Linked DNA regions of Arabidopsis thaliana. The protein of the gene in region 2 interacts with the protein of the main gene of each other region in a pairwise test. Each region holds a gene or a part of one and is shown on either strand. Other genes may lie near its edges.

What was found.
Region 1: the proteins of RVE2 (region 2) and AT5G56840 interact in a two-hybrid assay, tested with the Arabidopsis thaliana proteins (one large-scale study listed by BioGRID).
Region 3: the proteins of RVE2 (region 2) and AT4G25160 interact in a two-hybrid assay, tested with the Arabidopsis thaliana proteins (one large-scale study listed by BioGRID).

Annotation. Positions count from the first base shown.
Region 1 is NC_003076.8:22,978,485-22,983,221, reverse strand, and holds AT5G56840 (myb-like transcription factor family protein), read right to left. Parts: upstream 2,585-4,737; 5' UTR 2,434-2,584; coding exon 2,166-2,433; intron 1,843-2,165; coding exon 1,643-1,842; intron 1,304-1,642; coding exon 1,070-1,303; 3' UTR 797-1,069; downstream 1-796.
Region 2 is NC_003076.8:14,750,307-14,755,217, forward strand, and holds RVE2 (Homeodomain-like superfamily protein), read right to left. Parts: upstream 2,783-4,911; 5' UTR 2,667-2,782; coding exon 2,655-2,666; intron 2,195-2,654; coding exon 2,132-2,194; intron 2,043-2,131; coding exon 1,931-2,042; intron 1,800-1,930; coding exon 1,738-1,799; intron 1,653-1,737; coding exon 1,038-1,652; downstream 1-1,037. Other genes in the region: AT5G37250 (RING/U-box superfamily protein), read left to right, coding at 39-665. UniProt on the Arabidopsis thaliana protein: Positive regulator for cold-responsive gene expression and cold tolerance. Part of a regulatory feedback loop that controls a subset of the circadian outputs and modulates the central oscillator. Negatively self-regulates its own expression.
Region 3 is NC_003075.7:12,902,384-12,910,110, reverse strand, and holds AT4G25160 (U-box domain-containing protein kinase family protein), read left to right. Parts: upstream 1-2,514; 5' UTR 2,515-2,894; intron 2,895-3,408; 5' UTR 3,409-3,441; coding exon 3,442-3,640; intron 3,641-3,803; coding exon 3,804-3,925; intron 3,926-4,015; coding exon 4,016-4,137; intron 4,138-4,218; coding exon 4,219-4,397; intron 4,398-4,483; coding exon 4,484-4,899; intron 4,900-4,966; coding exon 4,967-5,068; intron 5,069-5,151; coding exon 5,152-5,580; intron 5,581-5,721; coding exon 5,722-6,480; intron 6,481-6,571; coding exon 6,572-6,751; 3' UTR 6,752-6,931; downstream 6,932-7,727. Other genes in the region: AT4G25170 (Uncharacterized conserved protein (UCP012943)), read right to left, coding at 1-371; AT4G25150 (HAD superfamily, subfamily IIIB acid phosphatase), read left to right, coding at 7,229-7,623. UniProt on the Arabidopsis thaliana protein: Functions as an E3 ubiquitin ligase.

The sequences.
Region 1 (4,737 bases), 8.2 Mb from region 2:
AACTATTTGACTATTTAATCGACAAAAAAAAAAAAAACTATTTGACTATTTTAAATTCTCTTCACAAAAATGTTATTCTAGCATTTTTCATACATATTAAAAATATATAAATCTCTATTACATATCGTTCGTTATTTTAAATAGATTTCTCTTCGTAAATAATAAATTAAAATATTAGAATTAAAATTAAAATTAGATAAAAAATATTGGAAATATAAAATGATCATATTTTCTTACAAAATAATGTTTTAAACCAAATTTTGTGTGAAAAGAGGAAGTATATATCAAAATCATAAATAATATAATATCTTGTCGTCCAGTCACTTTGGGTCATTTCCAATAGTAGTGTCACTATTAAACAACTTGCACTAAATATAGAAATGTAAAAAATGTGACCTTTTTGTTTCTTTTTTCTTTTTCGCCAACAACAAAATTATAACAATTCTGAGAAAGACCCTTGGTTTTGTGTTAAAGTGGATTCAGTGTTAAATATTATTGAGCTCTTGTGGACTCAATATCAGTTCTTAAAGTTATCTTTACATTATGTTTGAAACTCGTGTTTATTGTTTTATTAACAGAAAACTAACAATGTGAAAGTATTCTGTTAAAAACGAAATTTTAAAAGTATTCTAAATTTTTAGATATGTTAAAAGTATTCTAAATTTTTGAAACACATTTCGAAAAGAATATTTTTTTTAAAAACGAATCTTGAAATATTTAATGAACTAGAAAACAAGAAACTTCAAACAAGTTGTACTATGTACAAAATTGTCTTATCCGTTCTAATTCTATCGTAAGAAACTTTCTTATTAAAAGTATAATAGGAATATTGAAACTTTTATGAGCGCTAGATATATATACCTTAAATATAAAGTTTTACAGAAATATGTATGGATCCAACTTCCAAGACAAAAAATCTCACAATGAAAAAACCAAAAAAACAATATCGACGAAATTATCAAAGTAACTAACGTTAAATCAAAATCAAATTAGATAGGATCGATAAGATATTATATATGTAAACATTTGAATTATTCTAATGAAACTGATCATAACGTGTTATATAGATTCACGTAACGCTAATAGGTCTAATATTCGATTCAGGAGATTGAATGGACGCAAGCTTCAGCTCAAGATCGAGTCCACCGGAGTTACCCGAGCCGGATACTGATACTTTCGGATCTGGATATCCAAGACGAGGATTGAGTAATCCTTGTTTCCAAACAACCTTTGAGCTCGACCCAATATGATCATTACATATCCTCTTAGTAGTACTATTTTCTTCAACATTGCCGGCCGAAACCTGTTGAATATAAAAATTTGTCAATTCAAGATTATTTTCTATTTTTTTCTTCGGATTCTACAAGAAATTATATGTTCATATATACTTGGTATTAAAATAAAGCTTAGATTAAACTTAAAATCTTGACTAATTTTTGGTTTAGAAAATTCCGATATTTTAAGTGGGAAAAAAAAACTTGGAAAGAAAACTTTTAAAACAACATAAAAATTCTGTTTGAACTTTTGAAGATGTGACTTTTGTTGGATACAGAAACATTTTGATTTAATACATAAAAGTTTGATACAAAGAGTTTAAATTCTTTTGTCATGCATGTATAGAGAAAAGATTGGAATTACTTGCCATATCAAAGAGGCTGGTGCGGCGTCTCTTGTGATGGAGAGTGGTAGTTTGCCGGAGAAAGTATTTTTGAGCATGACTTGCCACTTGTGTCGGGGATTTTGTGACGACGAAGTTTCTAGAGATTCCTCTCCAATCTCCTTTTCCAAGCTTTTCTAATCCAATTAGAAACGTCCGGTGCTCTTCCGCCGTCCATGGAACCCCTAATTACGGAAACACAAATTATTATTTTTGGAAAAACTTTTAACAAAATCCTAGGCTAAAGATCGCGTTATAGACACATCATTTTCTTGACTACTCTTATATATATAGCGGTTGCATGCTTTAGGAAATGGTCCGACTTGGATATACGTACAAAATCTTTATGGCAAAACCAATCCCACCGATGACCAGTTTAACATGTTTTGATCTCCGATACAAATCGATTATGGGCCTAATACCCGGAACTTTTGGATTAATAAAAAAACGTCACTATCCTATTGTAAAAAAAAACTCGGAAAGTGGCATAATATGTCAAAGTTGTAACCTTTTTTGCGGTCAGGTGTTTTATGGGCGAGACCATCGGAGAGATAACCAGCAAAGGAAGAGGAAGAGGAGGAACATGCCGGCAAGCAATCCATGCTGAAACTTTTCTTTATTGCAGCGGCCAAAATCGAGGGAGGAGGAGGAGGCGGCGGAGAAGAGCTTGTGGTGTCTAGATGAACACCAAAGAGCCTAACTACTCTTGTTTGGTAAGAAGAACATGTTCTTGAGTTATGTCCTACGTTTCCACAGTGTGAGCATCTTCTGCCCATTGCAATGAATGAGAAAGAGAAGGAGGGACAGCGAGATAGAGAAAGAGAGATGATGTTGATGAATGATGATGATGAAGAGAGATTTTGGGGTTTATGTAAAATGGTGGAGAGCACAGAGAAATAAGATGATTGGATAAACCAAGTTTTATTTATTGGAGGGTTTTATAATTTAAATGATGTTGTCCAAGTTGGTGTTTTCTACTTTTAGCCAATAAGAAGACAAGCTTACGTATAAAAAACAAAAGAGGAAAATATGTCTTTATAAGTGGAAATTTATCACTAATATGGACTAGCTACAAAATGTTAATTCTAATCTAATTAATTTGTCTCACAAATATGAAATATTCATTTATCTTTCACATAGTCTATATTTTGCTTCTTCTTCTCATATGTATGCTTTATAGAATAGAATGAGGTAGCCATAACAATAATGGAATCTATGTGTATTAAATAATAAAGGCTATCCTTTTGCAAAGGAAATATAAGATATATGGTTGAGAGAGAGAGGACTTGGATCCTCCAATAGTTTTGGGGAGGTGGGTAGTTGGATGACCTAATAAAAATGTGGAAAGAAACATAACAAAAATATAATTTACAAATTTGTAAAATAGAGAAACAAACAACAAAGTGGTCTTGTTTACATGAACAAAGACAAGTCTTATTTATTTCTTGTTTTTGTTTGATATAAATAATGAAATAATTTGGATCTTATAATATTTTCAATATATTAGTTGGACGGAAGAGTCATCGTATACATATTTTTATTTAAAGATTGCCTGATTTGCTCAAATATTGTAATCGATAATGTTATTAATTACTAGTAGACAAAGCACTACCCAACATGCATTTATCTATGAATTGTTTATGGTTAGAATTGGTAAAAAGCAATATGGAGATTCTATTGCTACATTCGGAATGAAGAGCAAGTATAGGAGAACAATGATGATGATTCATATTTGATCATATAAAATAATGTATAGTATGAATCTATAATGGGGGTACTCGCATTCATCATATAAATTAAAATTAACTTTAGAGTCATAGCCTACGATCATTTCTAATTTGAATACTGAATGTGGATTCATGTTGATTCTATCCCACATACATATAATATGACAAGATGGGGTATTCATGTTGATGTACTATAATAATCTATTTAATGTTGATTATATCTTCTTCTACATACATAAAGATAATATGACTGGGATTCATTTTTAAGATTCGACTAATTAAAATATATTAAATGTTGATTCATATAGGACAATGATGGGGATTCATATTTCATCACATAAATAGTATATTATTGTTGATTTGATCCTAATGGCTACTTAATTCTGGTCCAATGAAGTTTGTTTTTGGTGAGGTAGGTCAATTTGTTTTACAAAAATTTACTAAACATATTCTAAAGATGTTGCTCACTATATCATATATTATTGAAGGAAAAAAACTACCAAATTAGAACATTATGCAAATGCTCTTCATCCACAATAACAGCACACATCACATTCTTTTGATCTCTAAATCGATACTTCTCTGTTTTTCTCTGTTTTAAGAGGTGACAAAATATAATAAGTCTCTGTTTCGAGTAAGAAGTCTCACAATTACCAAAAGTTGAAGTCCACAATTTATGCAAAGACGAATTTTATGAATGAATCCATGATCAGTAATTAATCAACTTTCAGGAACACCAAACAAAGAAAAAACCAAAACCAAACAAAAATAAACAAAACTACTTTTTCTTCAAGTAGTGTTTCTCCATAGACTCGATCACTTTTGTCATCTCCTCCTCATAAGATTCGGAGTGTGCTAACACATGATCTTTCTGCTGCATTAACATCATCATTTGTTTTTGCATCTGCATTAGCATCTTTTGATTCTTTTGCACCAACGACAACACTTCACTTTGTCTCTCCATCATTGCCACTTGGCTCTGAGTAATGTCATTCAAAGAGTATAATATTTCAGCTTCTGCTTCAAAACTTTCTTCCACATTAACACTCTGAATGACAGATTCTTGAAAAGACTCTTGATCCGGTCTCATATTGTATTCATGAACCAACAAGCAATCGATAATGACATTAACAGAAAGTTTTTCTGCAACCTCCACTAAGACTTTATCGAATCTTGGAGGCAAAGAGGAAAGAATCTTCTTCACCAATATTTTTTCTTCGACCTTCCACCCGCAAGACTTCATACGAAACACTAGCTCCAATAATTTTCCAGTAAACTCATGAACCGTTTCCGCATCGCTCATTGTCGTGTTGTTGTACTCTTTCTTGAGATCAAGAAGCTTTCTAGCTTGAA
Region 2 (4,911 bases):
TAGGCTTTGAATCTTCTTTTTCTTCTTCTTCTTCCACCATGAATACATATAGTAATTTGGTGTCCGTAAAGATTACTACAACAGCAATGATCCTACCACAAGATCAAGGGTTTAGAAACACCGTGTTCGTCAATCTACAAGATGTGGTCAACGAGTTAGCTGAAGATCAAAACGGTGTCGTAATGTGTTTGGGAACGTTCGCGGCTCCACTTATGACTAAAATCGAATTGAAACCATCATGTCTCAGTTCACATCACATCTATCAAGACCTTGACGAGTTCATCACACATACTGAGTTTTGTCGATTGTTGAGCGAAAGGATCGTTTTGGATTGTGCTCATATTCCCCAACCTTTTAGTGTGTCCTTATACGTGGAAGTGACAAGAGATGTTATGTTCTCGTCTATTGCTGTTAGGTCGACAGATACGTTTCAAAGATTGCTTGAGGAACAAACAATGGAATTGACTGATTTGGGAGATGAAGAAGAAACCACTTGTTCGATTTGTTTGGAGGACTTTTCGGAGAGTCATGATGATAACATCATTCTGTTACCTGACTGTTTCCATTTGTTCCATCAAAATTGTATCTTTGAGTGGCTTAAGCGTCAGAGGTCGTGTCCTTTGTGTCGACGAGTACCGTACGAGGAAGATCTTGAAACAGAGTGAAACCGTCACAGAGACTTGAAGCTAGTCTTAGGGTTTATGATGCATTACTTGTTTCTATGTTTCAAACATTTGCTTTTGATGTATTTTTTGTAAACCTAATCTTTTTTGTTAATCCTTTCGAATGAAATGCTTGATAGAGACTACTATTATGTACAACAATTTAGAGTTATCAAGAAGATTTGATTGATCAAATAAAAATGTTTAAGTACAAGGATCTCAATTTCTAACTGGTTATATGGAAAGACACGAAACTTTGGAGTGATCTTACGAATCTAATCCAAAAAAACTTTCCCTAATACTCTGACATTATACACATAATCTGATGTTGAGATCAAAAGAGTTTACACAACTGACTTGACACAAACGAACACTTCACCACAAAGGATATGATAATTTTACATTGTCAATGTTTTCTTCCACCTTTACTCTCTTTTTGTAAGGCATGAACCCTCTCATGTTGTTCATCTCAGTCACCGACGATTTTAACTGAGAGAAAGCTGATCTCTCACTTCTTTTGAACTCCGACACTACCACTTCTGTTTCAGCGTTTTCTGAAGTAGAAGAAGAACATTGAAGAGACTGTGTTTCTGAGTATAGCTTCTTCTTGCCATCTTCAGAATCATCACAACTCATTGAAGAGTTGTAATCACCAACTACAAAAGTTTTTCCAAAGAGCTTAAGGCTCTGTTTGGTCTCTGCTTCTAGAGACAATGATTCCTCTGTGTGAGATGATAACTCAGCTGAAGAAGAGTTAGGTGAATTTGAACCAATGGAACCTAATCCATCTGAGCCATGAGCTGATAAAACCGATGTTGGAGATCGGTTATCTTCATCCTGAATCAGCTTGGATCCGGTTAGTTCAGCGTATACCATCTCTTTTGCATCAGGAATCACAAGCTTTCTAGGGTAAGGATGCATCGGCTTTCTCTTTGGCCTTGGAGGCGGGATCTCAATGGACTCAGAGCTAACACCAAAATCGCGAGCAACCTAATAAGAAAAACTTGAATTAGACCTTGCTTAACACGAAGAGGTTGAAACTTTTTCATGTATAAGGGTCTGCAAGAAGGCAAACCTTAGTAAAGAACTTCTGCGCATGGCTTCGAATCTGAACTGCAGTTTTTGTTCCAACATGTTCTGTTCCATAGAAGAACCAACAAAAGTCAGATCTCTACTCATTACTAGGGTCCAAGTAGTTTTCTTATATCTTCATCAAACTTAGATTAGAATGTGCATTAGACTCTCTAAAGTCAGATAAGCACACACACCTTCGATTCGTCTCCAAGCTCTGCCATAGAGTTTCAATGCTTCTACAAACTTCTCATGCTCTGCTTCTGTCCATTTCTCTCTTTGTTTAGTGATGGTATAAGGCTTTCTTGTCTATAAACAAAACAAACCCTAAATTAACCTCATATTTAAGTTCAAAACCAATCAAGAGTAAACAAGAGATTAAGAAACAAAATTAGTACCTTGAGGTAAAAGGCATCTGAGGAAGATATAAGTTCATCAGAACATAAACTCTCACAACGTTCCTATAATCACAAAGTAAGAAAACACAATTAGTCTCTTAATATATTGTAAGAGTAATTAAATGTTACAAAGAGTCTAATAAAACTAATTAATACGCAACTAGAAGAGGTAGACCACCAGTAATAATTAGGGGATTAGAGACATGTTCTTACCTAATACGGATCAATACATTAAGAAAGAAGTAATCTCTCTTTAAAACAACCGACCATAATATCCCACATAATCGCCTGGTCTATTAACACAATTTTTAACCTGCCACAATCGAATAATCTTCAGTTCCAAGTTCTCTCAGACAAAGAGATTAAACTTGAAATTAGATAACAAAATAACCTATTTTCTCTCGGACATAAACCTAAGTTTAGGTTAAATCTGTCTGGATTCCACAAGACTTGAAACATAACAACAGTAACAAAACCAAGATCAAGATTGCATAAAGAATAACAAAGAAGATAGATCTCAAACCTGCATAGCCATGGTTGCAGAAGAAGAAGAAGAAGACTTGAAGATTTAAGATCTGAAATCTGAAGCTGAAGAAGAAGAATAAAGAGAGAGAGAATTGTTTTGAGATTGGTGAGAGAGTTGTTGTTTATGAAAGGAGCAGAGTCAAGGGGTTACTTTAAAAGAGCAAGAAGAAGATAAGCCACGTAAGCATAATGTTTTTCTTTTTATAAAAATTTGGGTGAAAAAGCGTAAAGAGGGGTTTCGAGAAACTAGTATCATGTGGCTCAGGTTAAAAGATGCTAATGACACGTGGAGGATTTCTTCTTCGCTTTCACTTTTGTCTTTGCGGAGAAGATATTATCTGTTCTTTGTTAAATCTTGTCGGAGATTTTTAATTGTTTAATTTATCTACTAGAAAGTTTTTTTAAAGAAGCTCATTTCATGATTATTGCCAAACTCGCGACTGGTGAGCGCGTGTCTTGTTTAACAACGTTGTTTACTTCTTACCCCATTTTGTTGTTTTTTATTAATCAAGTTGATTGCATATTTAATTTTAGGTTTAGGTACAGTATTTAATTGAAGTTGAGAAATACAGTTCCATAAAATAAGATTAAACAATTATATTATTTATTAGTAATATAATCACTATTTTTGTTTTATTAGAATTAACAATTAAATAAGATCTCACTAAATAGATCTAATCATATCATATTGACATGAGAATATATTAAATGAATATATTATTAAATTGTTTTCAACAATTTAGCGATTTGAGTTGACACACTTTATCTATTGATAATTCTAATTCATATAATGTTATAGAACATATTCTTATTCATAACAAATTTCAACAATTAATGCTATTTGTGGAACATTGAAAAATATGTGATATATTTGGAAACAAAATTTGTTTTTGTGCTAAGAATTACCCACTAAAATTTGGATTTTGGAATATTATTTTTTCTTCCTGATCATATAATTAAACAATTTCACTCATTTTATTCGTACTATGTATATTTGCATCATCAAACTGATGAATAGTAAAAACCTGAAAATATATTACATACTAAGATCTCAAAATTTGAATATAAAATACTAAAATGCATCAACTTAGAAGATGATCAATTGAAAATAAGTTTAATATCATATGACATGTTTATCAAAATAAATATATAAGTTAGTTTAGATAAAACATAATATGCAATTTGAATACTAGAGTAACAATAATATGCAATTTGAATGTTTATGACCCAACAAGTATTGAATAAAGACAATGTTGAATCACACCTAGCAAATTGTTTATAATTCAAGACCGTTTTTTCATTTATCTTTTATATTAATTTTGTTTATTCTTTTCTATAAGAATTTGGCCTACTTTGTTTCTACTATATATAACATAATCTTTAATTTCTATAATCTCAACTAGACGGTGTGTCAAAGTTCTAGTACCATTCCACTAGTTAGAGCTCATAGTACCCGAGAATGATGAGTATAGTTGGTGATGATATATGATTTTGAAAAGATTATATGAGAAACAATAGCTAGAGAAAGAGCCCTTGATACCTTTCTGAGTATGTCCATATTCAAATTATTAGAAGTAATAACATATGATTGAGTATGTTGTACAATTACATACAATATATCAAAATTTAAGTACGAAAATACCACACAATTCATCAAAATAGAATAAAATATATGCTTAAATGTAAATAAATTATATCATGCAGCAATCAAATCATTTTCATCTAAACAAATGTGCAACTGGAATTAGTTAAAAAATTAAATTTATATGGTTCCTATAAAATTATAGTAAAATATGTCGCATATCAGAACAAATGCTCTAATTATACAAAATTTATGATATTTTCGATCACTTAAATAATTCTGAATTAAAATATAATCACGCTCTTTATTATATTGATATTTTTGAAAGCATTTTAAAATAACCTTTTATAACATTTTTTTTTGAAAATGTCTCCAAATGTTGTCCATTTTCAATCAAATCACTCTTACAAAATTTTATAAAATTTGAATAAGGAAATAAACAGATTTCGTTTATTTCAAAAAATCGTAAAATACTTGATAATTTGGGTTTCAGATAATCAAACATAAACTTAGATGTAAATATAAGAAGACAAAACTGAATTTTAGCATGAACAAAGTGAAAAAAATTGTGTACCCAGCCACTCTCAAGCAAGAACAAAATGTTCATCTTATTAAATCTATAAAAACAATTTCAAAGTCCAACCAACATACATATCGCCATAAATATTAAGAG
Region 3 (7,727 bases), on a different chromosome or scaffold from region 2:
GAAGGAACAGAGCCAAACAGAGAATCATCTTCTTCCTCAGAAACCCACTCAAAATCATCATAACCTCCAGAATTAACAAAGGAAAAAGGACCGCCGCCGCTCCATCCGGAGGTTGCAGCCACCGGAAGATTCAACAACAACCCAGAAGCCGCGGAATACGTCAGATTATTCGACCCAGAAGAAGAAGATCTCTGTTTCTGGACATGCGAAACAGAGGCGTTTCCAGCCGGAGACGACGTGGACGATGATGATGAAGAAGCAAAGGGATCTTGAATACCACCGTTGGCTACACCGGTCCTCGTCATCGCACGACCGGCGGCGCGTAACATACCTCCGCCGCCACCCATAGGCCCTCTTCCTCCACCAAACATAGAGAGATCACTATCAAATTGTTTTTACTTACACGACAGGTTGCGTATGTTTACTCGGTGAGTTTGTCTTTTGGTCCGATGCTATTTCGTAGGCTTTTTACTTGAAGCAGTTTTGATTGAATCGAGGAAGTGGATAAATGCGAAATGTCTTTTATAGATTTTCAGGAATATATGACTTTCTTTACTTTGCTTTGGTCCTTCTTCTCCACGACACGCTTATCCGTTTACTCTGTTTTCTTTTTTTCCATTAAATGCATTAAAATACTACTCCACTGTTGTTATAATAATAATTGTTTCAATACTGGATTATATATCCCAAATTTATTTGGTACGTCAGCATATGAGTTTCCAAAAACGAAATAAAAACATAATAAAAAAAAAAGAGACTATGCTTTATTATAACTAAAGGTGTACATAGATCAAATCATAAAATTTCATATTCAATTTGGATAATTTGGATGTGGTTAAAAACCTAAAAGTCTAAAACCAGTACGTAATAGTAGTTTTCTTTTTTTCCGTGTAACATATGTATGGGTTTATATAAACCAAAACATATTTGTAGGTCTTTTTCATTTTGAGTTTCGGTAGCGTTTTCAATTGGATTTTATTTGAATTTTAATCCAAAATAATGGATTTTTATCATAGTTAGACAAAAATTTCACGGAATTTATGGGTAAATAGTTTTTCTTTTGTTCGTGAATGTCAACGAACATAGGCATTTTTAGTGTGGTCAAACTATGTTTAAGTTGATGTGTGTATGTATCTGACAGGTAAGTCTGTTGTTTTGCAAACATGTTTTCAATATCATTCTTTACCAAAAAATGATATTTTCATATTACAAAGCAGATTATTTTAGAGTAACTTTGTAAACTATTCAAAACAAATGTGTACACAAAGGTTACTTTTGCATTTAAACCTTTATGTAATTAATAAATCAAGTCATTTCAGCCATTAATAAATTAAGATATTTGTATCTAATTCAACATTGTAAATTATCATATTTAAAAGTTCTTCCACTATCAAATTTCATCATCGCCATATAATTAGAGTTTCTACACTCGATCATGTATTAAAAGAAGATCTTGACCACACACACAACAAAAGAAACAAATTGTAAGAAAATACCCATTTGCAAATTTCCTATTAATAAGTTATAAATAAATTATATGTCATTTGCTATTTACTAATGTCATTTATCCAGTTTTCATTGGACAAACTCTGCCTTTTTCGTCCATTTTTTTCTTAAAAAAAGATGGCCATTCATAGTAAAAAGAATATTATGTAGTGCAACACAATATTGATATATATTCTTATATTTTTGACAGAATTTGTTCTTTAGTTTTTGCATCAAACAAAACGAGAATGGAGAAAATAATCATTGATATATTGACCTGAACACTAGTCGTTTACATTCAGAATACACAATAGTAATACGAATACTAGACTCAAGAGCATGAAAACTCCAAAACCAATTTGAAAGTGGGAAGACATTTCGTACGGAAAAAAGGAGAATCAACATAAGAAAATAATAATAGATTTTAAGTTTATAGAGATATTAGATAATTGAAATTTGAAAATAATGTGTCCTGATCGAATATTTCATGATGAATGACTACAGGGGATGAAGATTTTAGCGTCGAGACAAGACAAGTTTAAAATTCGAGTTTTTTCCACCTTTTATCATCAATCATCAAGGAACAATGACATGCCAATTCGTTTTCCATAAGTAACTTTTAATGTTTTTAGCTTCTATAGATACTTTGAATGCTTTTATTCTAAAAGGTCTTTGTTGACAAGGTCAAAGAGCCTAATCGAATCCTCTTGATCAGCCAGAGAGTTTTGCCTTCGTCTTTGGATTTTGCCAAAATTGGTTACTTAATCAGCCAGAGGTTAAAACTCGTAAACCGGCGTTTAAATTGAACCGGCCAAATCACGGTTCAAATGCGAACCAATGTTGTAGGTGAACTCTACCAAAGTCTTGTACCACTCCACTATGCATAAAGGGGAGGAGACAAAAAGACGTGAGGAAGACATAGATCATGCGTGCAACTATGGCCAAACTCGATATAATAATGGCGTTGAGGAATGTAGTTAAATACCAAATAATTAGGGAATTAAGAGATAAACTATGATTAAACTAATAGTCAAGGCCTAAGGTTGGAGAAAACTTCTTTCTTTTAGAACACACTCTCCTTCTGTCACTCTGATAATGAAGAAAATTCAGGCGAGAGAACAAAAGAGTATATACCCAGGACTGATCCTCCTTTGACCATTAACATGACCAACTTGTCTCATTTTCTTATTATTTTTGATGCTTCTTTTCAAATCTTTTTTAGATTCTCTGGTTATAAGAACCCATTGTTTGTATCTGAGATTAGCAGCACCAACGTGGGTCTTCATCTTCTTCTTCTGCTGCTCTCTTTATTTTCTGAAATTGATTGCTCTGTGAAATGGAAGCTTCCACCATTTCTTCTCTCAATTTTTGTATTGGGTTTGACTAAAGTCGCATCCTTTATTTACCAGGTAGGTTCAATTTCTGGTTTTCTTGTTTAACTCTATGCCCTGAAGATGGTCCCTTTGATTGACTTGATCAATGTTTCATAACCTTTCGAATTCTCTGCAATTGCATTGTGCTCAAAGTTGACATTTTTATTGGAAAGTTTGAGTTTTTTTTTTTATCTTTATAAGAAGCTAGCTATTTGTTAGCTTCGATGGTCGTTGAGTGTTGTTGCTTTACGATCCTTTTGGTCGTCCAAATTAGACTCTGAGACATTTGACTTTCAACGCTATTAAGAGTATCTCATGATCGGTATACCTCCGTTAGATTCTGTCAATACTTATTATTATTTGCCTTTTCGGTTTGATGAGTTGATATTCAACATTCAGCTATGTGAGTTCAAATATAATTACTGTCTGTTGATTCCCACTGACTGGAGAGTTTTAGCTTTCCCTTTCTTTCATGTTATCTCTACTTTAGGAACAAAACACTCTTTTTAGAACATTGTTTTGCAGTGTCTGAAATGGTTGTAGTGTGCAGGGTCAATAGAAACAAGAACACAAAAGATTAACAATGAGTAGATCACCAGACAAGCTTGCTCTTCCTCCTCCTCCTCCTCCTCCCCCATCTCGTACCGTCGTTGTGGCTCTAAGTGGGAGCAGTAAAAGCAAATATGTAGTTACATGGGCGATCGAAAAATTTGCTACTGAAGGAAATGTTGGCTTCAAGCTGCTTCACATCCATCCAATGATTACTTCTGTACCTACACCAAGTAAAGTTCCAACTATGCCTTGTATTTCTGTTTCTTTCTTTCTTGTACTCAGGACTTCTTCCTGTGTTTCCCTTTTTTCTATTTGGTATTGTTGTGTAAAACAAAATCAAGACTTATTGTAACTGATAAAAAGCCTGATGTACATTTCTTGCTCCTTCTCAAGTGGGAAATGCAATCCCGATTTCCGAGGTACGAGATGATGTAGTAACTGCATATAGACAGGAAATACTGTGGCAGTCTGAAGAAATGCTTAAACCTTACACAAAACTGTTCGTGCGGAGAAAGGTATTTTCTTTGGTATAATGAGATATCTTACGCTCTTCTTTAATGAAAATTTCAAGGTTACATGAACTCATTGAATTACCTTAATGAAAGGTTGCAGTAGAAGTTCTTGTGATCGAATCAGATAATGTGGCAGCCGCAATAGCTGAAGAAGTGACTCGGGATTCAATAGACAGAATTGTCATTGGAGGCTCATCCCGTAGTTTTTTCTCAAGGTACACTACCACCCTGCTGCTAGCTTTCGACCTTTGTTCTTTCTATTCCGTGTACCAATGAATCTGTTTTGAAAATTCCAGGAAAGCTGATATTTGCTCGGTGATATCAGCTTTGATGCCAAACTTTTGTACAGTCTATGTTGTTTCAAAAGGTAAATTGTCATGCGTCCGACCATCAGACTCAGACGGAAATGCTACTATAAGAGAAGATGGTAGTGAGAGAACAAATTCTTCAAGCGGTTCTTCTGGTCCCACCTCAGGTCCATGACTCATCAATGTATTTGTGTGAATACTCTACTAGAAATGGTGTGTATATCTAATTCTGTTACCCCATTTTCTCTTCTAGATTCATCAGATGTAATGTCAAGTGCGCATGACTCTCAATCTCGTCCTCTATCCCTTCCGGTCAGGAGAATGCAACATTTCCCTGCAATTGCAGGACAGGCATCAGTTCCAATGGAAACGAGTTCTGTTGGCTCGGATGAAACCAGGTGCATGTCTTTGGATGCAGAGGAAGCTAGAGATGTTTCAAGTATCAATAGAAGCAGCACAGATACTACATCACGTTGGACTCCTCGGCGTAGAGATTATGAGGAGAGAAAAGAAGCTATGAGTTCTTCTTCGAGCAACCGTGAATACGGGAATTTTGGTACTAGGTTTAGTTGGAGTGGCATGGGTGTCGATACTACACACTCTCGGGCTTCTCAACAAGCTTCCAACATGTCTGATGCTCTAAGTGAACAATCCTATACAGACAACCAGGTATAAAATGGAGTTTTAATTTCGACATTGTCTTGTGAATCGGAATAATATAAGATTATTTGTTCAGGTAAACCTAAACTTTGAGGTTGAGAAGTTGAGAGCTGAGCTTAGACACGTTCAAGAAATGTATGCTGTGGCTCAAACCGAAACCTTTGATGCTTCTCGAAAGGTGAAGGCCTCATAATATCATATATCTTTGCATTTGATGAAACTTATTAAATTGTGCTCAATGCTTTTCTGAAAATGTTTCAGCTTGGTGAACTTAACCAACGTCGGTTAGAAGAAGCCATAAAGCTTGAAGAGCTAAAGCTGAAGGAGTATGAAGCTCGAGAGTTAGCAGAAAAGGAAAAGCAGAATTTTGAGAAGGCAAGGAGAGATGCAGAGAGCATGAGAGAAAGAGCAGAGAGAGAAATTGCGCAGAGAAGAGAAGCCGAAAGGAAATCCGCACGTGATACTAAAGAGAAAGAGAAGCTCGAGGGCACTCTCGGGTCTCCTCAGCTGCAATATCAGCACTTTGCTTGGGAAGAAATTATGGCTGCCACTTCATCATTCTCAGAAGAACTGAAGATCGGAATGGGAGCTTACGGAGCTGTTTACAAGTGTAATCTGCATCATACAACTGCAGTTGTCAAAGTTTTGCAGTCAGCTGAAAATCAACTTTCCAAACAATTCCAACAAGAGGTATGGAAGTGAGCTCAAATTTGGTTTAAGGAACTTTGTTTGAGATTTTGTGCCTTTCACTATATGGAAGTTTTCTGATTTTAATTTCAATTCTTGTGGATAAGAGTCTACATTTATCTCACTGGCCTCTCTAATTTGCAGCTCGAAATCTTGAGCAAGATTAGGCATCCACATTTGGTTCTCCTTCTAGGAGCGTGCCCGGAGCAAGGTGCTTTAGTTTATGAGTACATGGAAAACGGTAGCTTGGAGGACAGACTTTTCCAGGTCAACAACAGTCCGCCACTCCCGTGGTTTGAGCGGTTTAGGATTGCTTGGGAAGTTGCAGCGGCTCTTGTCTTCCTCCACAAATCAAAGCCTAAACCAATCATTCACCGTGATCTTAAACCTGCAAACATCTTACTTGATCACAACTTTGTCAGCAAAGTTGGAGACGTGGGACTCTCAACGATGGTTCAAGTCGATCCTCTATCAACTAAATTCACTATATACAAACAAACAAGCCCCGTGGGAACGTTATGCTATATTGATCCGGAATATCAGCGCACTGGAAGGATATCATCGAAATCAGATATCTACTCCTTTGGAATGATTCTTCTTCAGCTTCTCACAGCAAAACCTGCTATTGCATTGACACATTTCGTTGAGAGCGCAATGGATAGTAATGATGAGTTCCTTAAGATCTTAGATCAGAAAGCCGGTAACTGGCCGATTGAAGAAACCCGGGAATTGGCCGCATTAGCTTTGTGTTGTACAGAGCTACGCGGGAAAGATAGACCTGATTTGAAAGATCAGATTCTTCCAGCGCTCGAAAACCTAAAGAAAGTAGCTGAAAAGGCAAGGAACTCATTTTCCGGCGTATCGACACAGCCTCCCACTCATTTCATCTGCCCATTACTTAAGGTAAACTCTATATAAAACCTTGTTCAATGTTGAAACATCTCATCTCAGTGTGTTGTGGTGAAAATGTGTGAGCTTGTGTGGTATAATGCAGGACGTGATGAACGAGCCGTGCGTTGCAGCAGACGGATACACATACGACCGTCATGCGATAGAGGAGTGGCTTAAGGAGCACAACACATCGCCGATGACGGATTCACCGTTGCATAGCAAGAACCTTTTACCCAATTATACTCTTTACACAGCCATCATGGAATGGAGGTCTACACGATAGTAGTAAGCCAAACTGTGTAGCGTTTTTGTGGATATATAAACGGCAAGACGTTTTGCTTTGTACTACTACTACACACATGCTGAATCAAAAATATAAACCGAAACGAAACCTTAATCATCTTGTAAACGAATATTCGGATCCATCCGTTAATTTGCCTCCAAATAAGAACACAAAACCATTGCCCTTTATTTTTCATTTTGGTATTTTGGTCTTTTTTGTCTCTCTTCCTTTCCATTGCCCAAAAAGAAACAGAAACTTTTCTCCGAGAATCCTCATTTCTCCGTTGAAAAAAGGACCTTGAGAGGAAATGTTTCACTGTTTCTAGGGTTCTTATAATCCACTTCCTCATCATTAGAGAATGGAAAATCTCCTCTTCTCTTTGATATTTCTTCGGATTTCGCTTATGTCCTGAATCTCTTGAAGACCCAATTGAAAAAATCTCAACTTTTTTTCTCCCGGCGTTTCCGGCGATATACAATGCGGATTCTCGTGAATCTCATTCTCTTCTCCTTGATTCCTCTGGCGTTCTCCAATGAAAACTCCAGCTCGTATCTCATTGCGCGACCATTGATCTTCGAAACCCAGCTCAAGAACATAAACGACAATGTCAATCTACATTGCACGAGCTGGAGATTCGCGGCGGAGACAAACAATCTCGCTCCATGGAAAACCATTCCAGCTGAATGCGCCGATTACGTGAAAGATTACCTGATGGGTGAAGGTTACGTCGTCGATGTGGAGAGAGTCTCCGAAGAAGCTAAGGTTTACGCGAGCAGCTTCGAATCTAACGGTGACGGGAAAGACATTTGGATTTTCGATATTGATGAGACGTTATTGTCGAATCTTCCTTATTACATGGAACACGGTTGTGGGTAATTTATCTTAAATCTTTCATTTTACAACATTGCTATAAAAAGTTGGTTCCTTGATAATTGTATAGATGGATTTGTCTTTTTACTATGTCGAATTAGTTAAG